4 linked regions of the Rattus norvegicus genome follow. The protein of the gene in region 1 purifies or fractionates together with the protein of each later gene. This does not show direct contact. Links are inferred from orthologs where the notes say so. Each region holds a gene or a part of one and is shown on either strand. Other genes may lie near its edges. The genes, in order: Ap1b1, Ap1s1, Ap1m2 and Ap1g2.

Region 1 (7,483 bases):
AGGGGGACCCTGATAGTGGTGGAAGAGAACCCACTCCCAAAAGTTGTCTTCTGGTTCTCACAGGCTATGGCAACGATGTCACTGAACCCACACAAATAAATAAATGTAATTAAAGGTTTTTAAGGGGTCTTGGAGAGACAGCTCTGTGGATTAAAGGCATTTGCTGCTCTTGCAGAGGACCCAGGTTCGGTTCTCAATATCCACATGGCAGCTCACAACTGTTTGTAACTCTAGTTCTAGGAGACCTGTTGTCTACTCTGCTCTCCAAGGGCACCAAACTCTCACATGCCATGCACACGTGTGCGCAGGGAGCTTACATATACATAACATAACTTTTGAAAAAGCTTGTGAGAACTGGGAATATAGGTGGGGGTGGTCTACTTCCTTGGTGTGTAAGGCCAAGGTTTATCCCCTAGTACTAAAAAATAAAACACAAGAGAAGGAGCCCCGTGGGCAGAGACACTCGTTGCTAAGGCTGACAAACCTGCGTGCAATCCCTGGAACTGAGCTCCCGTGGCAGAAGGAGAGCGCCAGGTCCTGGGAGATGTCTTTTTTTTTTTTTTTTTTTTGGTTCTTTTTTTTGGAGCTGGGGATCGAACCCAGGGCCTTGCGCTTCCTAGGCAAGCGCTCTACCACTGAGCTAAATCCCCAACCCCCTGGGAGATGTCTTTTACCATGCACACACACATACAGAAGGTAAAATAAGAGATGTTGAAGTATGACCTCCCCATTCTATCATCCTCTCAATTCTGTCATCTTCCGATGTACTAAGAGGATCAGATCAGAACCTGGGAAGATCAGAGTGACAATGGTATCCTAACTAGAGGACTCTGGACCTTCCGTAGTCAACCAGCTACACTAACCCTTAAAATAGTTGGAGATCATCCTATTAGAGGTCCAGCCCAAGGTTGAAGACACAAGGGAACCTCAAACCTGGAACCACAGTCAAGCTCTGGCCCCACTAGCTAACAGGATGCATCCTGGAAATAGAGGTTAACAAAGATAAAACAGGTCAGCACACGCGGAATCCAGCCCGCTTTCGGTAACCATCAGCCAACACTCCTGAAGGTTTGCCATCTCCCTGCTCCCAGAACTCGGCTCAGGCACTCTGCTGACTGGGAACAGCAATGGACGCTTGAAGCACGTAAGTCCCTCTAACAGCCACACTTCCCCTATCCCACTGCGATGGCATGAGGACGCACAGACCATCACCCGGAACCCTCACGACGCCATGGGCTATCCATCCATTTGATCTTTCCCCACTTTTCAAACATTGCCCGTGCGCCATGTACCTCGCTAGACGCTGAAGGCGCACAGTTCAGACAATGCTTGCTAAGGATTAAGAGATCTTTACTAAGAAGGCAGCCAAGCAGGCAGACAATTACATTCACGGTGATCACTGCCACAGGACACGAGAGGGGCAGCCAGCTCAGGCCTCTGCAAGACGGGGATGATGAGCAAATGGCAAGCACCAGGCAGCAGTCCAGCAAAGGAGGCCATAAGAGTAGCCCGGGCGAGAGTAGCAGGAGTGGGCTGTGCAGACGGACGAGCACAGATGGAAGACGGAGCACAGGAGCAGCTTGCAGAGGTGGCAGTGTCTAATATGACCAGAAGGCCAAGGAGTAGAATGGGAAGCTGAAGATGGAGAACCAGCAGAAGTCAGAGCCTGGAAGGCTTGGAGGCTATGCTGAAAAGTTAGCTTCCACTGAGGGAGAGGAGGAACCACTGACAGATTTCCAAGGAGGATTTTTTTTAATATTTTTTTATTTATTGGTTTTGGTTTTTGAGACAGGGTTTCTCTGTGCAGCTCTGACTGTCCTGGAATTCATTCTGTAGACTAAGCTGGCTTCAAGCTCACAGATCTGCTTGCTTCTGCCTCCCAAGTACTGGGATTAACTTAAGTTAAAATCATGCGCCACGAAATCTAGCTAAGTAGTAATTTTTTTTTTAATTTCCCCAATTTTCTCCCTACAGTATTTTTTTTCTCTCTATGTAAACTGATAAAAAAATCAGGAAAGAAAGAAAGGAAGGAAGGAAGGAGGGAAGGAAGGAAGGAAGGAAGGAGCAAATAAATCCCTTCTGGTTATGAAAATCTCAGCAGCATATCTTAGGAAAAAAGACCTGTTGAGAAACAGAAGTGCCTTCAAGGACCAAGTACCCCTCAACCGTCTGAAGCACAGCAGACTATAAAGCCTACCCAAACCATGCCTGCTTCCTGTCAGCGCTGCAGGCTTTGGGGGAAGTGAGCAGTCAGACATGAGAAGATGAAAAGTCCAGCCCCAGCCCCAGCTGGACCCACAATAAACTGTTCTCAAACTCTTTTTGAGAAGTGAGGAGAGCAGGAGTGGTATTCAAAGCATTTAAAGGTCTAACTGGAGAAGAAAGCAGTAACCTCACGGGGCAGACAGCCTTTTCCAGACGCAGGCCCCAACAGGTACCATGGCTTCAGGTCAATAGTAATATGCTCTGCAAGATATCCTCATGCAACACCTACAGACGGGAGGCCTCCCAGTGTCTTCTTATGACTATTCCGAGACAAGGTCTTTTTATGTAGCCATGGTTGGAACACACCATGTAGATCAATCACATGGGCCTCTTCCCACCTCAGCTTCACAAGTGCTGGCTGGGGTTAGTCATGGACCACCATGTCTCCCCAAAACCCTTATTTCTCTTGATGCTGGCAACAGGAACCAGCTTTGCAAACGCCAGGGAAGTGCTCTACCACTTTATCTACATATTTTATTAGGCTAGAAACCCAGTTGAAATGAGTTATCCAGGTCACACAGCTAGGAAGCTGCTGACCTGGGGCTAGAGCCAGCAGCTGACTGGCAGGAGTCAGAGTGCTCATTCCACTGGCCCTCTGAGCCCCTCAAACTACCCGGTGTGAAGCTTCAGTCAACCCACACTCATCAGATGATCTCTACAGAGACACTGAAAGTCTGATTCTCTGGGATCAGCTAAGCCCTCTTGACAGTTCCTAAGAGAGGCAAAGGAGTCTGGTGGGCTGGATTCAGGACAGAGTGCCAGGGCTCTGTTTATGTCCCTAAGAGTTGCTCTGTCTTCAATTATCCCTTGGAAGGATAGGATAAGGTGACACTATTAAGTTTCTGTGAATTCAATGGAACTGAGCTCATGACTGACAGACAGACAGACAGGACAGGACAGAAAAGCTGGGTGTGGTAGTTCAGTTCTGTAATCAATCCTAGAACTTGGGAGACTGAGACAAGAGGGGTGCTATGAATTCAAGACACAACGAGATCCTGGCCAGACTGGGCCAGAGTGAGACTGGCTTTAAAAAAAAAAGGGGGTTGGGGTGGGGAGCAGAGGGAGATAGCTGGTTTCTGGAGGGGAAACCTGGAACAGGGATAACATTTGAGATGTAAATTTTAAACAAATCCAATAAAGGAAAAAAGAAGAGGTAATTAATTAAACATTTTGGCTTGCGACTTTTTTCAAAAGCACAAGGAAACCTTCACAGGCTTATCACAGTTCCCTGCACTCAAGAGGAAGTAGGAAGACTGTAAGTCTCTTTTGTGTTGCTGTCAGGGAAACTAAGGCAAGCCGAGCAAGGAAATGTCTACAAAGGAGGAGAACCTCACCCTTCAGCCACCAAGTGACCTTCCCATCTCCCAGGCAGACTACTCATTCCCAGCACCCTGACAGGTCAAAGCCCCTCTGAACCGAGGACCAAATGATCCCCTAAGAGGTCCTGTTGTCCCCCTCTTTACTGCAAAAGGAAAAAAAAAAAGCGCAAACGGGATGAAGGGAAAGTCTGAATATTAGTGTCATGAATAGCCCATTTGGTGTCTTATAGTTCCCAAGAGTCAGGAAAACCTTCAGCCTCTTGCCCTGACAGCAACAACCTGCGACCGACAGCCTCCTAACGAAAGTGAACCAAACGCTCCTCATGAACATCAGACCAGACAAGAGTAGAGAAGGCGGCATCCTGACATCAATCCAAACAATATCATGGCGACAATATATGAAAGCACTCTGAGACCCCAAACCAGCTCCAGGTGCCTTTGTCCCTTCGCTTTTACGGTTCTGGAGACCTGCATAGGAAGTCTGGCTTTGCCTCTACTATTCGAATGACCTTCCATGTGTGATTTAACCTCCTGTGTCTCTGTGTCCTCAGGAGTAAAGGGTAAAGCAATGGTAGCTACCTTACAGGGGCTGCTGTGAGCTCAGTACACAAAGTGCTTAGCACATAGCTTCGAAGTCACTGGATAACCACTGACAGACACTGTTGTGTTAGCACTAGTACAAGTGTCTCCATTCTGTCAACGTGTCCCTGATGATCCAAAGGACCAGGGGCTGGCGGCATAAGGCCATTTCTAGATTTTTGCCCCATTCTGGGGGCGGTGGCCAAGAGATAAGGCCCTGAACGAGGAAACCTCAGGTTGGCCAAGGAGGGGAAAAGCAGAGCGCAGGAGAGGCCTAAGTCCAGGAGTCTCTCCAGCCGTCCTCTTCAAACAGGACTGCGGACCTGAGATGACCGGTTGACGCCGGGCCGCCAAGCCGCCGTGAATGAATGAACACGCAGCCCTTTCACTTTCGCCCACTCGCAGCTCGTACCTCTCCAGCGTAGCGTCCTCTCCGTGACCTCTGACCTCGCAGACCCCTCACCTCGAACCCCTTCAGTTTTCCACCTATCTCGCTGGGTTTCCTTTTTCCTCACCCACAAATCCAAACGGCTCCTGGTGCCGCGGCTCGGCTCGCTTCAGCAGCAAAATGTCCGCAGCCTCCTCCTCCCTCTCCGCCGGTGCGTCGCAGCAGCAGCAGCCGGCCGCTCCAAGCCCCACCGCTGTCACCTGCCGAGCGGAAGTGAGCAGCCAGCGCGCGGAACTTCCGGTGGACGCACACCCCGGGGGCGGGGTCAAGGGTGCAACCCGGCGGGAGGGGCTGGAGACCTGTTGGGCGGAGCCTGTGTGGGAAGGGCGGAGCCTCGGCAGAGCCGGCCTTTGTGAGGATTGAGGGCCTGGGCCCGCCAGGCGGCAAAGGCAATATGGGGTGTCCTTGCTCAAAATCCTTGTTCAGGCTCCCTCTCAAGCACCATGGGATCGAAAGGGTCTTGGAAGACTCTTGGAAGTCCAACTCTTTCTAAGTTACAGATGGGGAAACTGAGGCCAACATCAAAGTGGAAAGTCAAAACCGGAGCTATAAATCTGATCAGAGGCCAGCCAGACTGCGCCTTTCTGCTAGGAAAAAGTTAGACTTTTTCTGCTGTCCTTGGTAAAATTCATTGTACTAGGAGGCAAAACATATGCTACATCTAAGACTTTTCATGCGGGGTTGGGGATTTAGCTCAGTGGGGGTTGGGGATTTAGCTCAGTGGTAGAGCGCTTGCCTAGCAAGCAAAAGGCCCTGGGTTCGGTCCTCAGCTCAAAAAAAAAAAAAAAGATTTTCATGCAAGGGAGTATAGCTAGTCCCTTTGGCCGGGACCTCAACTGACACAGCCATTTCATTCCTGACTTTGGTCTTGTTAATTTTCTCTTTCTAATAGATAACTTGTGTTCATCCCCTTTAAGACATTATAAAACCTCTATTCTAACATTTTTATTAAACCAATAATATCTGCATTGCAGAGAAAAAATATGTTAGTAAGAGAAAAGAAGACCAAAAAAACCCCATGTAGGTAGGCTCCTGAGACAATCACTTTTTTTTTTTTTTTTTTTTTTTGGTTTTTTTTTTTTTCGGAGCTGGGGACCGAACCCAGGGCCTTGCGATTCCTAGGTAAGCGCTCTACCACTGAGCTAAATCCCCAGCCCCGAGACAATCACTTTTTAACACTTGGTTATCCTCCTAGATGTGATATGTCTGACTTTTTTATTTTATTATTTGTGTGTTTGTTATTGTTTTTGAGACAGGATCTTGTTATGTAACCCAAGCCAGTCCCAGTGTTCAGATCACAGTAACGCACTACCATGTCTGGTTTATGTAATGCTGGCAATCTAACTCAGAGCATTGTGCATCCTACTCTAACAACCGAATCCCTGTCACCTTGGTTGACCTGGAAAACTGAGAACCAAGCAAAAATCTACCCGCCTTTGCAGAGTTACTGCAAATTGTTAAAAATGGACAAAATAGAATCCCATATGCTGGGCTGAAGAGATGGTTCAGCAGTCAAGAACACTGGCTGCTCTTCCAGACAACTGGGTTTGGTTCCCAGCACCCACACGGCAGCTCACAGCCATCTGTAACTCCAGTCCCAGCGGACCTAAAGCCCTCCTCTGACCACACATGCACATGGTATATGTTCATACGAACATAAAATAAATAAATCATGCAGGTGGTAGTGGTGTACACCTTAATCCCAGGTGGATCTCAAAGTTTGAGGCCAGCCTGGTCTACAGGGAAAGTTTCAGGACAGTCAGGGCTACACAGAGAAACCCTGTCTCAAATAAAAAACAAATAAATCTAAAAAAAAGGGGCCAGACTTGGTGGTACATGCCTATAATCCCACATAGCCAGATAGATTTCTGTATGTTCAAAGCCAGGCTGGTCTGCATAGAAATTTTCCAAAGTTACAATAGTGAGACCTTGTCTCAAAAACAAACAAAACAACAGCAAAAATGCCATGTATGGGGTTGGGGATTTGTCTCAGTGGTAGAGCGCTTGCCTAGCAACCACAAGGCCCTGGGTTCGGTCCCCAGCTCCGAAAAAAAGAAAAAAAAAAAAAAAAAAAAGAATTCCATGTATCCTTCACCCAGCTTCCCTCAGTGCTCAGTGATGACATCATATAAATATATATATATGTATGTATATATGTGTGTGTGTATGTATGTATGTATAAGTATACACACACGCACACACACTCACACACACGCACGCACGCACTCACGCACTCACACACACACATAGGCTAATATTAACACCCGGAAATTGTCATTGGTAAAGTATCTTTGATTGAGTGCCTTGGTTTTAAAAACAGGATTTGTATGAGATTACAGCTGACCTTGCTCAGCCCAGAGAAGAATGTGAGAGAGCCTGTTTCCCAAGATTATCTGTCTTGCTTAAAGCAATTCCAGGAAAGAGAAACAACAAATCTGCACATTGCCCCCACAACTGCATCCACTTCCTCAGCCCAAGTCTCCCCCACCCCCAAAGGGTCTCAGACAGCTTTTCCCCTCCATTCCCAAGAACCGCCCTCCCCTCACTGTTGTGTGCTAACAAGCACAGTTGCACCTGCTAAGGTCAGACTCTGGCCCCATTCTGCCTTCACTCTGCCTCTTTATGATGCCTCCAAACTCTAATTACCTTTGCCTCAGTTCACAGACTTTATTCCATTTTTAAACCCCCCTTTTTTTTTAACTAAAAATGGAAGAAAACCTTTTTGCTGCAGTTACAGAAATTTATTTTCTTACAGTTCTGCTGGCTAGAAATCTAAAGCCAAGACTCAGGTGGTTTCTTCTGAACCTCCCTTTGGCTTGCAGATGACCGCCCTCCTGCTGTGTCTTCTTGAGGTATTTCTTCTTCTGCACAT
Region 2 (6,916 bases), on another chromosome or scaffold:
CCTCCCCCACACTGGGGTTACAATAAGCAACAATGTATCTAGCTTTTTCTACATGGGTTCCGGGGACCCAGCTCCTCGGGCACGAGGCAAGCACGCGGTACACACACATACATGCAGGGAAAACACTCGTGCATGTAAAAATAGATGATGACTCTAAAGGATTTTTTTCAAGGTGGTAACCCAGAGCCCCAACTTCCCATAGATTCAGAATGAACTTCTCTGATGTGTGATTGACAGAGGCTGCAGACCTTAGGTACAGAGTAGGCCTGCCTTCACAATGTGCAACACCGTCAATGATGTCTAAGGCCCGATCGGGTTCTACTCACAACTGTTGGTACCGGGGATTGAACACAGGGCCATGCTCCTGTTGTCGTACTTCCCTCTGCCATAGACTACACCCCCAGTGTTCTTTTTGTCCATTTTTTTTTATTTGTTTGTTTTTTCAAGACACGGGTTTCTCTGTAGCCCTGGCTGCTCTGGATCTCACTCTGTAGACCAGGCTGGCCTTGAACTCACAGTGATCTGGCTGCCTCTGCCTCCCGAGTGCTGGGATTAAAAGTGTGCACCACCACCTCCCAGTTCCGTTTTTGTTTTTAAGACGGTGTGTTTAAGCAAGTGTCTTAGCCACTGCTCTACGGCTGTGAAAGGCACCGTGACCAAGGCGACTGTCGTAAGAGAAAGTGTTTAACTGGGGGCTTGTTTTATAGTGTCAGAGGGTTAGTCCATTGTCATCCTGGGGGGAACACAGTGGTATGTGGGCAGGAGCTAGAACAGAAGCTGAGAGCTACATCCTGATCCATAAGTAGGTAGATAGGGAGGGAGGGACAGAGCGGGGGGAGGGAGACAGAGAGACTAACTGACTCTGGGTTTGGTATGAGCTTTTGAAACCTCAAAACCCACCCCTAGTGACACACCTCATCCAAAAAGGCCACACTTCCTAATCCTGCCAATCCTTTCAGACTGTCCACTCCCTGGTGACAAAGCATTGAAATAAATGAGCCTATGAGGGCCATTCTTATTTATTTATTTATTTATTTATTTATTTATTTATTTACAGCCTAAATGCTGCCCCAACCCAGAGTCCCTCCTCCCATCCCTCCTCCCCCCTCCTCTGAGAGGGTTGGGACCCCCTTGTTATCTCCCTACCCTGGCACTTCAAGTCTTTGCAGGATTAGGTGTATCCTCTCCCACTGAGGCCAGACAAGACAGACCTACTGGGGAAGCAGATTCCACAGTCAGGCTACAGCTTTAGGGAGAGCCTCTGCTCCAGTTATTGAGGGACCCACATCTCGGAGACTGAGCTGCACGTCTGCACACACGGGCCTCGGTCCAGCCTGCGTGTGCTCTTTGGTTGGTGGCTCAGTATCCGAGGGCTCCCTTTCAGTCAGGGCCTTCAGTCCTTCCCTCAGCTCTTCCAGAAGAGTCCTGACCTCTGTCCAGTGTTTAGCTGTGGGCCTCTGCATCTGTTTCAGTCAGCTGTTCTGAGGGCCATTCTTACTCACACCCGCCAAGCCAGCATTCAGCCAACCAGCTAAGGTGCATTCCCAGCCTGACTTAATCGACTGATTTTGTGACACTTCAGGTTGCACCTAGGCCTCAGGCATTGTTACTTTGTGTCTGACCACTGAGCTGTCCCCCCAGCCTTTTTTTTTTTTTTTTAACTTTTTATTTTGAGACAGGGTCTCACTATATTGTCCAAGCTGACCTCAAAGTCATTCCATAGTTCAGTTCTGCATCTCGTCTTCAAGAGCTAAGATGAGAAGCCTATACCACCCCACACGCCTTATGGGGTTCTCTGGTTTGCTCTTCATCAATCTGAGGAGTTGACGACGCATCATCTCCTTCTAAAGCGAGGGCCAGGGTGTTCTCTGCCCCAGAGTGCCTAGGTTAGAGGCTAACCCAGGGTGCGGCAGAAGCCATATTGGATATTTTAAGGCATTTTAAGAGGAAAGCAACAGCAACCACAGACTTCTAACTCCTGATCCAGAAGATGAGGCAGTGAAAGCAGGAGCAGGCATGGTGACCTCTGCCTGTAATCCTAGCACTGAGCCTGAGGCAGGAGGATTGGGAACTCAAGGGCAGCCTGGGGGAAAGGGCCAAAGCACTGTAGGCTGAGGCCCAGGAGGATCTAAGGCTCTCGGAAGGAACTCACTGTGGGGCAAAGGACCTGCTTCAGTTGGTAACGTGCTTGCCTTTCATGCCCAGAGCCCTGAGCCACATAATGGTGCCCCAGCATTTGAGAGGTGGAGGCAGGAGGATTGTTTGAGGACGGGTTCAGGGGCAATCTGGAGTACAGGAGACTGTCTAGGGGCGTGATGCAGGAGGGAGGCTGGGTGTTCCTGGTACTCAGCTCCGCCCTCTCCCCCTTCTCCCAGGTATGCGAGTTGGACATCATCTTCAACTTTGAGAAAGCGTACTTCATCCTGGATGAGTTTCTGATGGGCGGGGACGTCCAGGACACATCCAAGAAGAGTGTCCTCAAGGCTATCGAGCAGGCTGACCTGCTGCAGGAGGTACGAGCCAGGGACAGTGAGGAGGAGGAGGAGGAGGAGGACTACTGTGTCCGAGGGGATTCCCCACCCCTCGCACATCCTGCCCGGCGACGACAAGTGGGCCCCCCTCCCTGTGGCGTCTGGCCCCCATCACGCCCTGCTGTCTAAGTTGTCCTGAGTCCTGAACCCATGGAGCAGGAAAGAGGTGGGTGGGCCGGTTGCCCACCACAGTTGTCTCCTCTTTCATTCCAAGCTCTGGCCCTTCCTAAGACCCAAGATGACTGCCTTATTCTGGCTTAGTCTCTTTTGACTCGATGATTTTCATGATGATAAGGGTTGTTTAGAGAATTGGAGACTGGTTCATAGTAGATAAGCCTTTTCTTCCTTGATTTACATCTATCTGCCTGCCTGCCTATCTGTCTGTCTCCCTGTCCTCTATGTATCTGTCTGTCTTCTATGTATCTATGTATCTATCTATGTGTCTGTCTGTATATATTTCTCCCTCCTTCTCTGTCTGTCACTGCCTTTCTGTCTCTGATGGAGGCTGGGGCCCTGACCCCCTGCTTTGCACTTCTGTTTGTAACATGAGGGGGTCTGTGTATGTACATGTGGGGAAGAGGCCAGTGGCTGAAACCGGGCATCTCCCTCAGTTATCCTACCTTATTTTTCCAGAGTCTCCCATTCAAGCTGGAGCTCATCCATTCAGCCAGGCTGATTGGCCATTGAGCTTCAGGGATCTACCTGTCTCAACTCCCTCCCCACAAAGCACTTGAACTAGAGACCCAAACCTCCACTCCAGGCTTCTCTGGGGTTGCTGGGGATTTGAACTCGGGTCTCCATGCTTCCATGGCAGATCCGTGTCATATCATGACTGAGCAGCAGTCTCTCCAGCCCCGCCTAATCCTCCCCTTTAACAACATGTATGCACACACCCCCTTTGCTCAGGAACTAACATCGTGGGGACGTGGGGCTGCCTGGAGGGTGTCTGTTAGTTCTCCCTGCTGCCTGGTATCCCTACCCTCTCCTCATCCCTGCTTGTGCCCTCTGCTGTGCTACTGCTGAGCCATGGTGCAGGGTGATGAGTCACCAGGACTCTGCAGTGACAAGCAAGCCAGCGAGAGCTGGCTCCGAGGAGGGGAGAGGTGGGGTCCACGAGGGAGGTCAGCCTTGCAGGGGGAGAAACCGCAGAATGAAACTCGAGGTCACCCCACCCATGCAGCCTCCCTTCATCCCCTGTCACACACACATGCACACAGGCAGACGCGTGCGTGTCCCCTGGTTACTAGACACTAGTGACTCATCACTCTGAAGTCTACCTTTCCTCTCCTTAGGAGTCTGGCACCAATGGCTTACTGCCTTCCCTCTCTGAGAGGCACGGGCCAAGCATCCGCACTACCTACCCCTGGAAATCAGGGTTCCCCCTGCTCCTCCCGCCCCACCCAGCTTCATACCTCTAACCCATGGGTTCTGAAGCTGCTCACCTCCTCCCCCAGTTCCTAGCTTTAGACTCTGGGTGATGATGAACTTGGCCTCTTCTACCCTCCTTGCCACTGTGGGTGCTGGGAATGGTGTCCTGAGGCCCGTACCCCCTGAGGACTTGCAGTGCTCCAGCCTTGGGCTCATATCAGCTTCTCTCCCCCCACCCCTGTGTGTGTCTGCTCTTCCCCTGACTCCGATTCCGTCATCTCGCCCACCCTGTCTACCCTTCCTGGTGTCTGCGTCACCCCTGTCTGTCTCAGGAGGATGAGTCGCCGCGCAGTGTCCTGGAGGAGATGGGCCTGGCATAGCCCCGTCAGCCAGCGGGGGGCCCTGTGGAACCGGGGGAAGACAAGACAAGAGACAGCACTTGGGGCTGTTTCCTCTCACCTCTCCCCCAGACCCCTTCTCGTGGAGGGACCCGGCCGCTTTTCCTCGGCCACCTCACCTACTTAGAAGGAGCTGTGGCTCCAGCCCTACATACAAACATTCCCTCCCTCCAGGTCTTCCTCCCCCACCACCGTCCGTTCCCACTGAAGGCTTTAGGGGCTAGAAGGGAGGGGAATGTGACCGGATGGGGATGCCCAGTGGCTTTCATTCTCCTTCCTTTGAAGAAGCAATGGCAACCCCAGCCGTCCTTCGTCCTCCCTGTGTCCCGAATTGCTGTAAATATATAAATATGTCAGGTTAAAGGGAAAAGGTTTCCAGGGCTCTTTTCTCCCCTCTGCCCCCAAACCTACCTCCATCCCTCCCCAGAACCAGTCAGGGCAGCCTCTCTGCCTCGGAGGGAGGGGCTTTCTTCTCCTGGGCCCCACTTCCTCCTGGGCTCAGTGTCTAGCCAGAGCCAGGGGAGGAGCCACACAGTTAATGTTTTTCTAACCTTGCTACTTGGAGGGAAGGGAAGGTTGGGGAAGGACCTGCTTTCTGGGACACTGACCCTGTCCCCCTTCCTCCTCTCCACGTTATGGGTGTGGCAGGAGCCAAGCGGGTGGGGTGGGCCAAGTGGCTGCCTTTATTTCCTTTCTTCTGAAATAAAAGGAAAAAGTGTTTCTGGACTTGACTTGCCTCTGGCTTTGTTGGAGAAGACGGACATCCACCCTGAGGTCAAGGGCAGCTGCCTGCTAATGTCTTCCTGGGAGCTGGGTCATTGTTCTTGGGAAGAAAAACTAAAAATAGAAGATGCCCAGCTGAATGTCAGATAGACAACAGGTTTTGTCGTTTTGTTTTTTTGGAGGGTTTTTTTATTGTTTTGTTTTATGGGCTAGGATAATGTATGGCCTCGTGCAATGGAGGCAGAGACTACCAACCGAGCTACAAGCCCTCAGTTGTTTGGTCTTGAATTTTGAGACAGGTTTTGCAGCTCAGAGTGACCTGAATTCAGGGTTGTTCCTGCTGTCCCTGGGATATCCTGGGTTCAGGATGCTGGGAGATAAGCATGTGCCAACCATATCCCAACCCAACAGGTGCATTTCAAATTTCTTTACATTCTGAATCAGGGTCTCATGTGATCTAGGCTGACCTTAACCTCGATATGGATGGGAGGATAAACTTGAATTGTCTGATCTTCCTGCCTCTACTTCCAGAGATGCTGAGATCACAGGTGTGCAACAGCACATCCTGATGAATGAAAGCCTTCCTAAGTGCAGGGCAAGTACTGGCCCAACTGAGCCACGGCCACAGCCCCAACAGATAAGATAATAAGTGTGTCCCATGCACTATGGAAAGGTTATTCTGGAAGGGGGAAAGCATCTACTGCTTCTCCAGAACTGGAAGTTTAAATGAGTATCTTCTGCTCTGTCTAGTAGCCCTGCCCCAAAGAATTTTACACACTGCTTGTAACTACACATAGCCCAGAAAGGACGAGTCCTGGCACCATGGGTTTTCTTCTGAGGAGTCCGTGTGGAAGGTAGCCATTCGCCTCACTTAGTTTTGTTTGGGGGAGGTAATTAAGAAGAGATGGCTAAAAGCAGGATGTGTGGGGGCTAGCCCCTTCTCCCCAAGTTTCCAAGAATTCAGGGTATTTGAAGGGAAGGCTGGATGACTGGGGATAGGGGAGGTTCCCAGATTCCCAAGTAGAATTTGTATGGTGCCATTTTTCTTTTGAGTCGTAAAAGCTTGCTTATTCCAACCAACTGGCTCTTTTCTTGTTTGTTTTGTTCCCCAACCCCAACTCCTACCAACTGAGCCACGTCCCCACTCCCAACAACTGGTTCTTGTTGGACTCCCTTCTTTCCTGGGTCAAAAACTGGGAACAAGGTGGAAGTGGAAAAAGTAGGGTTGTATTTTGTTATGGTTTTTATTACATTTGTTTTGTGGGTGGGTGAGCGTACCAAGGTGGGCATGTGGAAGTCAGGGAGAGAACTTGCAGTGGTCAGTAGGAAGGTACCCTGGTATGACACTCATGTCTTGCTTGGCAACGTGTACCTTTTACTAGAACATTCCCTTTCCAGGTTCACCTTCACTCCTTTCTCCCACCCAGTCTGGCTTTGGTCTGAGACTAGGGAGACTGGCGCTTCCCTCACCGCCCCTTGGAAAGGACCAGATAGGCCCAAGGGGACGGGTGAATAATGGAAAACAAAGTCCTAATAAAATAGTCACTTTTATTTCTTAGCAAAACTATTTCCTCCGTGAGGGGTATTTACAACAGAAGGGCAAGATGTGGGTAAGTTCACAGCAATTTGGAGAAGGGAGGCTCCGGGGGCCCCAAGGCTGGGAGACAGACACTTCACACGATTAAATAGAACAGCTTTTCCCCGTTTGGGACCAGGAAGTCGCTAGAGAAACTAGATGGGGACGAGGCCCCTGGAGGAAGTGGGGGTGTAAGGGGACTCGCACAAACCACACACCCGCCTGGGCTGGCCCCAGGATCAGACCCCAAAGAAGTCTGACAGGTCTGGTCCTGACAGAACCCGGGGCGGGGCCTTGTGGGGCGGGGCCGGGCGGCAGCC
Region 3 (7,524 bases), on another chromosome or scaffold:
GAGGCGTGCACTGTGCAGCTGTTTATGTAGATGCTGAAGACTGAACTCGGGTCTTCATGCATGACCAACAAGCAGCACCACAAACTATTCCCAATTTTATTTTAATAAATTATCATTATTATCAGCACTTGGGAGGCAGAAGCAAGCAGGTCTCTATTAGTTCCAGGTAAGTAGAGCTGAAATCATGTCTCAAGTTTCTAAAAATATATAAAATAATTAAAAGCCTTTCTGAGGTCTGGAGAGATGGCTCAGTGGTTAGGAGCACTGATTGCTCTTCCAGAGGTCATGAGTTCAATTCCCAGCAACCACATGGTGGCTCACAACCATCTGTAATGAGATCTGATGCCCTCTTCTGGTGTGTCTGAAGACAGCAACAGTGCACTCATATACATGAAATAAATGAATAAAAAAAAAAAAAAAGATGCTTGCTGTTCTTGCAGAGGACCCTGGTTCAGTTCCCAGCACCCACATAGCTGTTCAGAATCTCCTGCAGAAACTCCAGACCCAAGGAATCCAATGCCTTCTCTGGCTTCTGCAGGTACTATACACACACACACACACACACACACACACACACACACACACAAGAAAAAAATAAATAAAACTTTTGGTTTCGGTTGGGGATTTAGCTCAGCAGTAGAGCGCTTGCCTAGCAAACGCAAGGCCCTGGGTTCGGTCCCCAGCTCCAAAAAAAAGAAAAAAAAAAGAAAAAAGAAAAAGAAAAAGAAAAAAAACAAAACAAAAAAACTTTTGGTTTCCTCTGGCCTCCTTGGGCATGTGGTGCACAAACATACATTCAGGCACATTCATACACATAAATTGCAAAAAATTTTAAAATTATCTTGCTGCTGGGCACTGTGGTACATGTCTTAATTTCAGCACCTGGAAGTGAGTTCAGGGATAGCCTGGTTTCTACACCAAGTTCTAAGCCAGCCAGGACTACAAAGTGAGACACTGCCCACCAAAAAAAGAAAGAAAAATATCATTCATTCATATCTATCTATCTATCTATCTATCTATCTATCTATCTATCTATCTATCTATCCAGTGATTTTTCAACCTTCCTAATGCTACAACCCATTAATAAAGTTTCTCCTGTTGTGGTGACCCCAACCATAAAATTATTTCATCGCTACTTCATAACTGTAATTTTGCTACTGTTATGAATTGAACACAAACATCTGCTATGTGACCTCTGTGGGAGGGCCAGTCGACCCCCAGAGGGGTCGCAGCCCCCGGGTTGAGAAACACTGATTAAAGTGTTTCATGTATACCTGAAACCACAAATACATTTCTTCAAGTCTAGAATACTTCACACACATTCCCAAAGATTCCGACTTCTGGAGCACTTCCAGTGCCAAGCACACGGATGCACACCTGCATCTCCTGGGGAGGAAGACGTCCTCCCTCAGCATCTGAAGCTCGCTCTGCCTGAACCCCTCGGCTTAGCTCTGTTCACACCTCAAAGCCTCTTTGTCCACTATGTTCTATTGGGGACACTTTCTCTACAGTACTTCATTCTTTTCCTTCTCCCCTACTTACAATAGCACCCTGTAACGTTCCAGGCACAGAGGCAAGGGATTAGACCTGTATGTAGCTCAGCTGTGGGTGAGAGGTTGCGAGGAGGCTTTAATGGGCATGGTCAGAAGCCGGCATCTGACAGGGGCGAGCTTAACCAGCAGACAAGCAGACCAGCTAGCCAATGAGAGGCCAGACCAGCTAGCTAATGAGAGGCCAGGACCTACCTCCACAGTCTTGTACAGAAAGGAGTACACCAGAGAGGCATTGGCGTTCTTCAGTGTGGTGGCCACCACTGGTGCAGTAAGGTTAAGGAAAATGCGCCATTTTTGAGGGAGTGGAGTTACATGTCCCCTGTTATGCCCCCCGCCCCCACCCCATTTCTACTACCCCTTACCCCAGGCACAACCTGAGTTAAGGCACATGAACCGGGCAAATCCTGCTCTTAGGTCACCGCCCTCTGAATCAGGTTCCTGGCGCTCCTTCCCACAATGAGGATGCAGTAGAGATTGCTGTGTTTGATCCACAAGAAGTGCACTCGGCCGTGGCTCAGCAGCGGGGCCAGCATACCCTCCTCCTCCCGTTGCATAAGCAGAGGCATGAAGTGGTCAATCTCCGTCATGGGCACATCGCCTTTGTAGTTTCGGCTAATCAGAGGCTAAGGGGAGAGAGACAGGACTAAGTCACCACCAGCGCACAGACCTAGGGCCTTAGGATGTCTAATTCTCTTCTAACTTTCTTTTATGCCCCCCACACTGGCCTCTTTTGTTTTATGGAGGGGATGATACCTCAGGTAGCATAGGCTGCCCTTGACACCAGATGTCACAGAGGATGACCTTGAACTCTTTTTTTTTTTTTTTTTTTTTTTTGGTTCTTTTTTTTCCGGAGCTGGGGACCGAACCCAGGGCCTTGCGCTTCCTAGGTAAGCGCTCTACCACTGAGCTAAATCCCCAGCCCCGACCTTGAACTCTTGATCCCCCTGCTTCCATCCTGGCGAGAGCTAATGTTACAAACCCTCTAGGAGTAAATTACCTCCCCGACTGTCTTTCCTTTTCTGATTAATTTAGGCACCTTTTCTACGAAGCCCCAGCTGGTCTCAACTTCTCAATCCTCCTGCCTCGGTTTCTAGAGTGCTGGGGTCACAGTGTTTGTCACCATATCACACTCTGTGTGCAATTCAGTGAGGGGCCTAGCTAGGACTCTACCTCTGTACGCCTCGGTTTTCATGCCTGTTATGTAGGTACCTGACACCCACAGCTAAAAGTGTCCTGGGTGCATACTGAACACCATCAACATTCTGCCAGTACGTGTTATGCTGGGGATGGGCTTGGGGGGTAGAGGCGGAAGTACAAGGCCATCCTCGGCTACATAGTAAGTGCAAAGCCAACCTAAACTACATGAGGTTCTGACAAAAAAATAAATAAATGAAAAATAAGGAACATGGGCTCAGCAGTAGAGGACCATCCTACTGCGTATGAGGTCCTTCCGACATCAATCAGTGGACGTGCTGGGCCTTGTCTTTCTTACCAAGGGCCTGTCGTCAGAGTTAGCAGGGAAGCTTGAGGCAAAAGGATAGCAGGTCCAAAGCCTAGCAAAGCTCCAGAGTGAATCTGAAGCCAGCCTGGGGAATTCAACCAGATACCATTTCAAATTTAAACCGCACAGGAGGGACCGCAAGAGAACTCAGGGGTTCTCAGTGGTTGAAGGGTCTCGCTGCCGAGCCTGGTGGCCAGAGGTCCAAGCCACACACGTGGGGATAGGACAGAACAGACTCTCACACAGGCAGAGCAAATAAGTGTAATTTTTAAATAGTATGAGGAGGATTAAGATGTAATTTAGTTGGGCTGGAGGGATGGTTCAGTGGTTAAGATCACCAACTGCTCTTCCAGAGGTCCTGAGTTCAAATCCCAGCAACCACATGGTGGCACACAGTCATCTGTATTGGGATCTGGTGTGTCTACAGACAGTTAGGTATACATTAAATAAATAAATAAATAAATAAATAAATAAATAAATAAATAAATAAAATCTTTAAGACGTAATTTAGTGGCAGTATGCTGGCTTAGCTTGGGTTCCGCCCCCACCACTGAGGAGGAAGAGGAGGAAGAACCTTTCCTGAGGAATTCAGTGCCTGCCTCAGCCTTGAGGTAGGTGTCTTTGGGTCCATTTTCCAGACTGAAGAAGCTGAGGTTTAAAACTATGTCCACAAAAAGCTGAGAGGTGGACCTGAACCTCTTCCCCTCCTGGGCCGTTCTTGTTCAAGGTTATTTATTTCTTTGTCTTGCTATTGTAGCCCAGGCTGGCCTTGCCCTCCTGAGCTCAGGTCATCTCTCTGACTCAGCTTCCACAGTAGCTAGAGTGACAGGTGCATGGTAAAACACCTGGCCTCCTTGTCCTTCTTGGATCTTTTTACAGGCACTATTTTTTGTGTGTATGGAGTGTGTGCATGTGCGTGTGTGTCTGTGTCTGTGTGTTTGTGTGTGTCTGTGTGTCTGTGTGTTTGTGTGTGTCTGTGTGGGTGTGGTCAGAGGACAACTTTGTAGGTTGTCTCCATTCCCCTTTACTTGGGTTTGGGTCAGGTTACCAGACTTACACAGCCAGTGTCTGGGCTTGTTGAGCCTGTTTTGGTTTTGAGGCAGTGAGTGTCACGTAGCTCAGGCCCGATTCAAACTCCCTTGATTTCCTGATCCCTCTGCCTCCACCTCCCAAGAGCTGGAATTGGGACTGTTTATGCAGTGCACTGGGATCACACCTAGGTCTGTGTGCTAGGCCAGCTGGCTGACAACTGAGGCACACGACCTTGTGTCATTATGTTACAGGGATCTCGTTTTCATCTCTACTGCTGTCATTGTCACAGGAGAAGCGACAGTCGACTTGCAAGGATAGGGGTATGGCCTTCTACTCCAGAGTTACACTTGGCCCATTTATTGAACTCCGGAGTTGCAGAAGGGCTGTGCTCACTGGTTCAGGGCGCTCAGATGGTGGATATCTTTCTTATTCTCATTTTTACAAACAGGAGAAATGACGCTCAGAGAGGTGAAACCCCTTGCCACAGATGCCGGCTGAAGAGGGCGGGTCCCCAGCTCCCGGTCCTGTGCCCTGGGCCCTCGTGCTCGCCCGTCGAACCACGATCCCTTGCCCTCTGCCTCACCTTGCCCTTGACGTCCAGAATGAAGACTGCCGAGGCCGACATGGTGGCGCCCGGTGAAGCTAGGAGGCGAGAGCGAGCTGCAGAGGCGGCAGCGCTGCTGCTTCCTTCTTCCTGCGGAAGCGCCTTCGCCCAGGTGAGCCGCCAGGTGAGCGCGTCTTAAAGGGGAGGCCGCCAGGTGAATGCGTCTTAAAGGGGAGGCCGCCAGGTGAGCGGCACGGTCGGCAGCAAATGCCAAGGCTGCTCCAAGAGCTAGGAAAGGCAGAACAGAGGTGCGACTGCAGCCCTAACCCACGTTTCTTTGGGGATCAGGAATGCCTGGGTGGATGGTGAAACTCCAGGACATTTATCCATTGATCCTTCAACTCACCCACCGCCCCCCTCGCCCACCGTACGTCTATTCATTCATCCTCTTATCCGCCCACCCCGTCTCCACCCACACTCCCATTCCAGTCAGCTATCCATCCCTCACCCCCTCCCACATACATATACACATTCACATCAACATCTACTAACCCACCCACGCATCCACCCACCCACCAGGGCATCCGTCTGTTCATGTGTCTGTATAGCTTGTTCAATCACCTACACCTACAGTATCAACAGGACTTTGCCTGTTTTCTATGTGTGACCCGGTGCCCACCACTAGGTGTTCAGTAATGTAATCCTTCTCACACTATACATTTTACTACTTTCTGTTATAGTTGTTGTTGTTGTTATTGATTGACTGGTTTGGGTTTTTTTTTTTTTTCTTCAAAACAGGGTTTCCCTGTGTATCCGTAGCTGTCCTGGAACTCACTCTGTAGACCAGGCTGGCTGCCTGTGTCTGCTGGGATTAAAGGCGCCTGTGTAATTTTTTGTTTGTTTGTTTTTGCTTATCGTTTGTGTTGTGTTGTGTTGTTAATTCTAGAAGAGTTCATTATGTGGTCCAGACCGGCACAGCCTTACAAGTTCTGTGATTACAGTCATGAGCCACCAGGCCTGACTTTGTTTTTTGTTTTCTAATTTCATTCATTTTTTTTAAAGCCCAAGCTATCCTTAAATTCAAGATCGTTCTGTCTCTACTTTCCCGTTGCTGGGATACCGTTTTGCGGAGGGTAGTGTGTGTGTTGGGGGGAACAACAAAAAAACCAAAACCACTCCAAACCTTAACCAAGCCTAAGCATAGCGCTCCGCTGTGGAAGAAACGTTTCCTGAGAGGCCGCCAGGGGGCGACAAAGCCCGCTTGGGCATCGTGGCTGCCGCCGACCTTTATCAGGCCCAGAGTCCAGATGGAGCTATGAGAATCGCCCACGGGAATTGTCTTAAAGCAGAGATGGGGCCTGTATGAAGAGCTTACGAGCCGAGCACAGTCAGTCTGTCTCAGGACCACACAGCCAGGTTAACAAGCCACTCTTCCATTATTCTGGTTGTTTTTACGGCCCTAGGGGGATTGAATGCCCACCGTTGCCAGTGCCAGGCTAGCACTGTGCCCCTGGTTATACCCCCAGCCCTTAATGTTTTTGACCGGGGCCTCCATGTATAGGACAGACTAACCTTAAATTCCCAACTCTTCCACCTAACCCTTACTAGTAGTTGTGTAATCTTCACGCTTGTCATAAATACCTTCCAAGAAGAAACGCTACAGATAACCACACCTACACCCTTTTTAAAGACCCGTCTAGCCCAAGCCTTCTACAGCACAGGAGCATCTTGAACTCCTGAACGGTGGAACCCAGGACTTTGGGTATGCTAGGCAAACTCTACCCGCTAAACTAAGCCATCATTTTCTGGATAACCGTTTGAGGGAACCAGAGAGCTGCTGATAGCTTCGCTTGGCAAGATAAGGAGCCCGAAGGTTAGCTCCAAGAGGGTACAGTCATCCAACGGTTTTGTTTGTCTGCTTTTGTTATTAGTGTTATTATATAGTTCCAGACAGCCTGGAAACCATTATCTGCCTCGGTGCTGGGGAATCACAGGAATCCACAATTATGCTCCGTTTTTGTGGTGCTGGGGCTAGAACCCAAGCAATCTTGCGTGCTAGGCCCATGATCTACCAACTGAGCTCCAGCCCCAAGCTTTTAGCTTGGCTCCACTCACAAGTTCATAGGAGAGGGATCCTTCCTGATTATCTGCAGCCTGGGCTGGGCTCACCCCTGTTGGGGGTGGGGTGGGCAGATCCCTGGGACTTTTAATCCCAGCACTCTCCAGGTAGAAGCAGGCAGATCTCTATAGTCAGTTCCAGGTCAGCCAGGGCTGACTGTCGCCTTGACTAAAAACCAAACACAACTCCAAATAAGGTGGGGGGTAGGGGTGGTCGGTGAAATGGCTCAAAGGTGCTTCCTTCTGCACCTGGGTCTAGTCTCCAGGTGCTCCATGACCAATGGGAGAGACCGACTCCTGGAGGTCATCCTCTGACCTCTACACGTACACACGAAAAATAAATTAAGTATCATTTTAAAGAAAGGTGGCTGGCTCCTGAGGAGGGAGTGTGTCTGGAGTTGTCCTCGGGCCTCTGGACTTGAATGTGCACAGCACAAAACCAGCAAAACTCTCTTGGGACCTGAGATCCATTCACATGGTAAATGGAACCCAGAAGCCTGGGCCCGGCGCCCTGGAATCTGAAACTCAAGGCCTATTTAGCTAAAAAATTCATGAGACCAAGAGCCTTAGTAGGGGCAGAGAACAGACTAGCACTGTCTTGTCCCAGCCAGCCCAGCCCAGTCTGGCCTAGCCCAACCCACTCTGGCTCCATAGCTGCCACCAATCCCCAGAAGTGGTGGCTTTGTCCCAGTTCGTCCTAAATATCTTGTCCTTGCCCTTCCCCTCCCCATGTCCCACCTCAGCTTCTAATTATCAGCCTCCTTCCTTCTCCTCCC
Region 4 (7,462 bases), on another chromosome or scaffold:
TTGGCACTGAAAGTAATAATAGAAGTGACTACTCTATGTGCCAACTTTTGGTCTCGAAGACAGCCTGGGAGGTAGGCATTTCTAGAACGTTGAGGACATGGAGCTTAGAGGGATTACAATTATTTATCTGGAGATGTAGCCAGTAGTCACCAGGGGCAGGACAGAAGCTTAAATAAAAGGTAGGCTTGGTCCTTGGTTCAATTTTCTATGCTTGTGGGGGAAAGCATTCAATTTCTAGAATTGAGAAGGCTGGTCAGCCGGACCTGGGAAGACAGGAATGATACCTGGGAGATATCCTCTGCTAACGCACTGTAGAGGCGGCGCACGGAGTAGGTATGCAGCTCCTCGGCCTCCCCAATCAGCTGGGTCAAGTTGGCCACTGCATCATCCCTCACATGGGTGCCTGCCTGGAGAGGGGTGGATGCAGCCAAGTCAGGGCTCTGCTGACTGCTGCCCAATTCCCTGACTACCCGCCTCTTACCGTGGTCAGCACGTGCAGAATGGTGTCTATGTGCCACCGCTTGCTGGGAGCAAACCTAGGGGATGTGGCTCATCAGCGCTGACACTGTCCCTTCCCAGGCCACACCCTCTGACTCCCAGTCACATGTCACTTACCTCTCTGCAGCCAACAGAATGCCTGAGGCACAGTCAGCCCGAAGATCAGGGGGGCAGGACTCCAGAAAGGCCTGCAGCTCCTGCATCATAGCTCGCACATTGGAGCTATTCACCAGGGCCAGGCTCAGCTCCAGGGCCCGCCTGGCGAGAGAAAGGCATCCGTGCAGATGGCTGAGCTCACCCTGTTCTGGCTTCCCTATTCCCAGATGCTCTTGAGCTGGTTTGAGTTTCGGCCACTGGGTGCTGTGTCCTCTGCCCTGTCCCCTTCTCCCTTCTCCTTCTGCTTACCTGCTAAGGGAGGCGTCCTTTTCCTGTAGACACTCTACCACGGTGGACCGGTGACGTTGCACAGCACTGTGGTCAGACTGTACCAGCTGCAGCAACGATGTCAGAGCTACATACCTGGTCAGGGTAAGAGAGGCCACATCACATGGGCGTACCAGCCTTGATAACCCGTGTTGCCTCCAGGATACCTAAGGGTTAGGTGGATCCGAAGGGAGGAATGCAGAGGGCCAGGTGGATAGTGGTACAATCTAGCCCCATACTGGCTGTTACCTGATATTCTTGTCATTGTTGAGCAAGAAACGACCGAGAATGTTAACAGCTAGAACCTGTGGGAGGAAGAAGGTGGAGACAGTAAGGGAAGAAGCCACTTGTTCAGTGGGATCTCCTCCATGATGGGGGTTAGGGAAAAGCCAGGGACCAGGACTAGCTGAGTAGGTGGGGCCACAGCAGAAGAGCACATGACTGTGTAGTGGTACCCGGAGGCCAGCTGCAGAGTGGATGGCCATGATGGTCAGTACTGTCTCCAACAGGACTGCGTTGCCTGCATTTCGGCTGGTGTCTGTGTTGGTGGCTACCTGTGCAGATGGGGGAGAGGTGCATCTGTACAGGGTTCCAGTGAATGCATGGACTTCGTCGGTTGGGCGGGGACAGAAAGGCCTCTTCGTGGTGAATGGTCCTCTGGGGAGTATGCAGGCCTGATGGACCCTAAGAAACCACAAGGCCTAAGGCGTGCCTCCCACCTGGGCCAGCAAGTCGTTCATGGTCTCGCTGCTTTCTTCATGGTTCCGTCCGAGGATCCGAAGTAGGCGGAGTATCTGGACCTGAGATTGGATCAGAGTGGTTCACAGGGTAGGGTCGTGGGCCCGAGGCAAAAAGACCTAACAGTGTAGACAACAAATACTGCAAGGGGCCCAACTCTTTCTCACCTCTACAGCTCCCTTAGATGAGCTGGGAGGAGGTCAGAGTTACATAGAGTTGGGGGAGTTTAAAACCGAAGGGTTTTTTTCTCTCTCTCTGTAGCCCTGGCTGTCCTGGAACTCACTCTGTGAACCCGGCCCACTACACACTCATGGGCCTCATTTAATCCACCTGCCTCGGCCACCATACTGGGCTTTGGAATAGGCCTTTTAATGGTTACCAAACTGGACTTTCTGGTAGCCACCTTTCATTTCCCCAGTCTTAGGACAACTAGGGCAATCCTGAGTTCACTACCTTCTTATTCAAGACATGGACTGTGACCAAACGGGAAGTGACCACTGGCCAAGGTCTTCCTGAGAAGCCTTCTCTGTTCTGGGAATACGGCAAGTAAAGCTCAGCCTACCTGCAAGAAGGGGTCGCTGACTCCAGAGATACTGTGCTCTGTGGAGTATCCTGTCGTCACCAGAGTCCGGAGGATCTGTACCAGCTGGGGCACTACCTGGAAGACGGGCACATCCAGCCTTGTCTGAGTTCTGCCTGTCTGTCTCCTCTCAACCATCAGTCCCAGTTGAGCACCCACCATCCACCTCTGCCTGCCCCACGGCCTGCCCCTTCACTAGCCCACCTTGCGAAAGTGTCTGAGGGCTGCAGGGTTTCTTTCACAGAGCTCCGTGATCAGCGTGATGGTGCCCAGCAGGGTGCCTGGGGTCAGGGCGGGGCAGTGAATGGTGGGCCAGGCCATGGGACAGTCTACTACGCGTGTGTTTGTGTGTGTGCACCGCCCTTATCCGATGAGCTGCTCTTCCTGATTTGCTTTTCACGTCATCTATTCATAGCCAGACCAGAAGTGGACAGTGGAGATCCCTGGACCCTTACCATGATGGCGCTCACGAAGCAGTTTGGTACAGGGTGGGAGGAAGATGTTGGAGAGCTCGGGGTCCTTCCGGATCATGTGCACTGCAGCCAAGATAGCCTGCAGAGGTCGAGGGCCTCAGAAAGGGCCACCACGTTAGAGGCCATGCCTCTTCCACGGCAGACTGAGAGCACGTTCTGGAGAGGCAAACGCCCACATCTCACCTTCTTACGCACATAGGGGCTGGGTTGCTGAAACAGCTTTTCCACCTCGGTGGCTAGGTCCCGGCACATCTCAGCAGAGCCCATGGTACTCAGAGTACACAGGGCCAGGCCTTGAACTGGCTGAATCCCTTGGCTCAGGTCACTGTAAGGTTGGAAGGATGGTCAGTCAAATCTGAGCAAACCAGTTCGTCGGCGCAGTACCGATAGCAGGCAGCCCCTCTGGGATTTTGCGGTTCCCACTCTCCCAGCGCCCTGATTTCAAGGGCCCCGGGACCCTCTCACTTCTTGATGCTGTTGGTAATGAGCAGATGGGCATCGTGTCTCTCATCCAATAGGAGCATGGCCCCAAGGTAGCCCACCCTCTTGTCTGTGAATCTGGGGGAGGCGATCAGTTTCAGGCACTCCATCTATAGGGAATGAGGCAGACCAGGAGGAGCAGGGTGAAACCACAGGCACTAACTTCCCCGCTACAACCTCCTTTAGGCCAGATTAACGTGAGGAATCATATTTCATCTCTCTGTAACCAGAGGCTTAAGTGTTGATCCAGATGACAGCAGGGTGGTTTCAGGGACCTGTGTAGGAGTAGAAGCTGGAAGAGGATGGGGAGGTGCTGAACGGGGCTGGCCAAGAAATCACTAGTAGGGTGATGGATAAAAGGCTCAGAAGCCAAAGGATTTAACTGGGCAGGGTGAGGCATGCCTGAAAACCCCCACACTGAAACGGAGGCAGGGTTTTCTCGAGTTCTAGGTCAATCGGGACTATACAGAACCTGTTTCGGAAACAAAAAATCTGGCGGAAAAAAAACACAGCGGGGGGTACAAATACAAAGGGGCGCAATGGCCATCTTCCTCAAAATTTGGGGCCATCCCAGGCCAGTACCTGTCCAAAGTGGGCGGGGTAGCCCAACATATGGACGTAGAGAAGTTTGGCTAGCTGGCGATGTCTCTGCAGGGGATCCCCATCGCGGAAGGAGGCCCGAATTTGGGCGCACTCCTTCTGGATCACCTCCCGTTCCTGGGCCTGCGTCTTGGCCCCACGAATCTCTTCGATTAGGTCCTGAAGTTTCAACGAAGGCACCATCCTGGGGACAGAGCCCGGGAGTTGGAAAGGCTTAATTTAACACGTTCTAGCCGGTTGGACAGAATTGCCCTGAGCCAAGATCTCTAAAGGATTGCGTTCCACCGCCGACCTAAAACCGTGTCCACTTTTACCTCCCACCTGGACCCGAGAGCCACTCTCCCGCCTCGCAAGGACATCCCCACTACGCATGCGTCCTTGCTCCACCCTGTGCCTGTTTCTACTGAGCCTGCGCTTCAGATCAGTCTATTTCTCACTCTCCTTCCCCGGCCAGATTCTCTTCTCCAGTTTTTCTCCTGGTTTTCTGCGCTATTGCCTTTGCGAGATTTCTCGCCCCCATTCCCACAGAAGGCTCCCCAGTCCCAAGCTCACCTGGCTCCGGTGTCAGCTTTGCTCTTCTACCCCCTACCCAGGACTTCCTGGTATGGGACAGAGCTGGGGTTGGTGCGCTGCTCGGGCCCTTCCCTCTTCCCCGCCTCTACCACGGGACCCGCCCCTCTAGGGCCTCCTTGCTGAGCCTACTTGAGATTTCTGACCTCTGGCCTCTTTGGTACTTTGATAAAGGAACCTAGAATTGTTACAGGACTATGGCTCCCCCAGGGGCCTCATTTTTCATCCGCCCCATCAGGTGACACTTGGGTCAGAAGCCATTGCACCCCAAAGGAGATGACAGTCCCCCCCTTTTTGGAACTTTTTTATTAATATACTTTTTTTTGTTAAATTTCTTTGTATTTTTTTTTTCCTGCAAGACTTGATGTTGTCGGCACTGTTGTATAACGTCAATCCCAAATTCCATGAAATAGAAATCAGAAGTAAAGATCGAGAAGGAAGGAAGGAAGGAAGGCGGGAGGAAGGCAGGCCAGGGAGTAAACAGAGGTTGACTAGAAAAATAAGAAGGTTGTGTGGTGGGCATTCCCAGGCAAGGCCGTTCCTTGAGGAGGGGATTGGCAGGCCGCTTGCCTCTGCCTCATGCAGGGAAGGAGAGTCCCCCGGGCTTCTACAGTTCCCTCTTGTAGAGCTTTCTGTCCCCAGAGGATAAGCTAGTGACGATGGATCAAGCGTATCTCAGACAGGCTCTTCACCCACCTCTCATCTGGGGATGACACCCACCTCTGCCCTGCCTGAAAGTGTGGGAGACAGCGAGCGAGTTCCTCAGATCCCCTTTATTTTCCCACCTCACAGGAGTCTATGTGAGGGCTTGGGAACTAGACTTGTGGCAGCATTTGCTGCCCTTCAGTCCTCGTCTTCCGTGTGCTCCCCACAACCGCCAGAGCTGGAGTGGGGTCCCTGCTTGCTGCAGTGCCTCTGACCCTGGGCAGAAATGTCTTCTTCAGGCCCCTTAGGAATTTAATCAAAGGCCACAAGTGAGTCCAGACCAACCAAATAAATTTTCAGGGGGCGGAGAAGGGTAGAGAGGTGAGTGGCAGAGTCTGAGAGGGGCGGGCTTGGTGTACCAGATGGTTTTCGTTGCTTTGCCCATTGCTCTTGGCTTGGCGTGCCATCCTTGGGGGTTGGGAGAGGGACTGGCTGAGGAGGACAGGAGAGGGAGCATGGGGAGCTTCCTGTTGTTCGCTCCCCTTTTCTCCCTCAGGGAAGGATTGAATTAGGCAAGAACTTAGGTAGGTTCTGGGAGGTAAGAGTGGAGGGTACTCTCCCTGAAGCTTTCCATGGGGGCCAGTGAGCCCCAAGTGGCTCAGCCAGTGCCTAGTCTGGCCACTCAGTCACTTCATAAGTGTTCTCTTTCTCCCTTCCACTCAGATTCCAGGAGATTCCTTAGGACACCAAACCCCTACCCTTGGTGAAGTTTTGATTCAAATAAAAGGTTGGGGAGGACATGGGGGGCAATGGTCTGACTTAGATTTGTGTATCTCAGAGGAGAGAGCAACTCTGAGAGAGAACAGCCCTTCATATGTAAACAATCTAGAGAAAGAGGGGTTGGGGTGGGAAAGAAAACCAGGAAGACCAGAGACAGGTCCAGAATAAATGAGACCATCTCAAAGAATAGAGGGAAGGAAGAAGCAAGAGACAAAAAGAAAGGGGCCTGGGAGAAAGGAAAGGGGAAAACACAGGTAGGTGGAGGAGGAGAGAAGAGAAGGCAGGTCAAAGGTCAGAGTGGGTGCAGAGGCAGGCAACCAAGCCGGAGGAAGCCAGGATGTTGCCTCAGGTGAGGAGCTGGGAGAACAGGAACGCCAGGCTGAGATCCAGCAAGGCCACAGCTCCTACCACCAGGGGGTTGGCAGCTCCCTAGAGAGACAGAGGGCGAAGTGAAGTCAGTCCGGGAAGGCAAGTGTAGGTCCCACCTCCCTGCCCTGGCTTTATTGGCAAAGCCGAAAGGTCCCAGACCCCCCCCCCCCCCACACACACACACAGGTAAGAGTAGAGGAGCTGATTTCAGACTGTGAAGAGCCTCGCTTCTCTGCAGAGCCCTGCCCTCACACTCTGAAGATAGAAGGCACTGCCTCCACCCACCACCACCACCACCGCTCTCCCCATCCCTCAGCGTATCATGTGGGCAAGGCAGAAGGTGCCTGGCCTTAGCAGCAGACATTGGCAGCAGCAGCCAGTACTGCAGTAAGGCAGAGGGAGGAAGGGGTGAGGGAGGATGTGGTTGCTAGGAGATGGGAGAAGGCCTGGAATCCAATCAGAGCAGAGGGTTCTGGAGAAACTCTCCACCTCTCTCGATTTTCTGTCTGCACAGCCTCCCCCTAACCCCCAGGAGAGGGAGGGAGAGTGAGGGTTGGGAGGAACAATTTTTTCCTATTTCTGGGCACCAAAGAGAGAAAGTCTGGAGGTGGGGGTGGGGGTGGAGCAGGAAACTGGGGCTGGAAATGATATGGAAGGAGAACAGGAAAAAGTGCTCTGATTTTACCATTAATTATTAGTTTGTAGCTGGGGACAGGTTACTTAAGTGCTCGAGGCCTATTTCCTAGCTGTCTTCTGGGAGGGCTGGACTCCAAGGGTCATTTGAGCTGTAAAGTTATCTTTTCTATAAAGTGGGGTGTGGTCCAAGACTGGCCAGGCAGAGAGGAAGCTGGGTGGAAATTCAAGCCCCTCAGGGGATTGTACTGAAGCCTGGAGGTTTGGGAGGCAGGGCTTTGAAAAGAAGAAGGCACAGGGGGTGGGGCTCACCGGCTGGGCAGGCCTCTCGGTGGCAGCAGGCTCCTCAAACTCTTCTGTCAGGCACCCAGCATCAGGACCCCTTGAAGACAGGCCCCTCAAAACTGGAGTGGTGACAGGCTCAGATTCTGAGCCTCCTGGGGCCCTCAGCTGGGGCAAGGACTCTTCATCTTCCCCTTCCTCCTCTCGAAGACTTCCTGAACTGTCACTGCAGCCTCCGAGAAGTGGGGAACCATCTCTCGGTCCTGGACCCTGCATCCCAGCCTCATCCTCAGCCTCATAGCCAGCCAGTTCCTCTGCCTGCTCACCAGGACCCCCCCACTCCTCAGGCCAAGCTTTAGGACTGGAGAAGGGGCCCCAGTTCCCTCCGGGA

What was found.
Region 2: the proteins of Ap1b1 (region 1) and Ap1s1 fractionate together in Homo sapiens (co-fractionation; 6 studies listed by BioGRID and IntAct, with this or other methods). This does not show direct contact. The link is inferred for Rattus norvegicus from reciprocal best matches to the Homo sapiens genes AP1B1 and AP1S1.
Region 3: the proteins of Ap1b1 (region 1) and Ap1m2 purify together in Homo sapiens (affinity purification with mass spectrometry; 3 studies listed by BioGRID and IntAct, counting the BioPlex papers as one, with this or other methods). This does not show direct contact. The link is inferred for Rattus norvegicus from reciprocal best matches to the Homo sapiens genes AP1B1 and AP1M2.
Region 4: the proteins of Ap1b1 (region 1) and Ap1g2 fractionate together in Homo sapiens (co-fractionation; 3 studies listed by BioGRID and IntAct, with this or other methods). This does not show direct contact. The link is inferred for Rattus norvegicus from reciprocal best matches to the Homo sapiens genes AP1B1 and AP1G2.

What each region holds. Positions count from the first base shown.
Region 1 is NC_086032.1:84,090,902-84,098,384, reverse strand, and holds the start of Ap1b1 (AP-1 complex subunit beta-1), read right to left. Parts: upstream 4,814-7,483; 5' UTR 4,679-4,813; exon of another isoform or gene 4,576-4,678; intron 1-4,575. UniProt on the Homo sapiens protein: Subunit of clathrin-associated adaptor protein complex 1 that plays a role in protein sorting in the late-Golgi/trans-Golgi network (TGN) and/or endosomes.
Region 2 is NC_086030.1:25,267,456-25,274,371, forward strand, and holds the end of Ap1s1 (adaptor-related protein complex 1, sigma 1 subunit), read left to right. Parts: intron 1-2,375; coding exon 2,376-2,513; coding exon of another isoform or gene 2,514-2,660; exon of another isoform or gene 2,661-4,231; coding exon 4,232-4,279; 3' UTR 4,280-5,028; downstream 5,029-6,916. UniProt on the Homo sapiens protein: Subunit of clathrin-associated adaptor protein complex 1 that plays a role in protein sorting in the late-Golgi/trans-Golgi network (TGN) and/or endosomes.
Region 3 is NC_086026.1:28,127,899-28,135,422, forward strand, and holds the start of Ap1m2 (AP-1 complex subunit mu-2), read right to left. Parts: upstream 4,745-7,524; 5' UTR 4,712-4,744; coding exon 4,670-4,711; intron 2,177-4,669; coding exon 2,020-2,176; intron 1,814-2,019; coding exon 1,746-1,813; intron 1-1,745. UniProt on the Homo sapiens protein: Subunit of clathrin-associated adaptor protein complex 1 that plays a role in protein sorting in the trans-Golgi network (TGN) and endosomes.
Region 4 is NC_086033.1:32,544,883-32,552,344, forward strand, and holds the start of Ap1g2 (adaptor related protein complex 1 subunit gamma 2), read right to left. Parts: upstream 4,399-7,462; 5' UTR 4,345-4,398; intron 3,977-4,344; 5' UTR 3,976-3,976; coding exon 3,775-3,975; intron 3,303-3,774; coding exon 3,178-3,302; intron 3,038-3,177; coding exon 2,896-3,037; intron 2,792-2,895; coding exon 2,695-2,791; intron 2,521-2,694; coding exon 2,444-2,520; intron 2,318-2,443; coding exon 2,222-2,317; intron 1,722-2,221; coding exon 1,641-1,721; intron 1,476-1,640; coding exon 1,377-1,475; intron 1,227-1,376; coding exon 1,171-1,226; intron 1,018-1,170; coding exon 904-1,017; intron 757-903; coding exon 616-756; intron 537-615; coding exon 482-536; intron 408-481; coding exon 285-407; intron 1-284. Other genes in the region: Jph4 (junctophilin-4), read right to left, coding at 6,133-6,216, 7,102-7,462.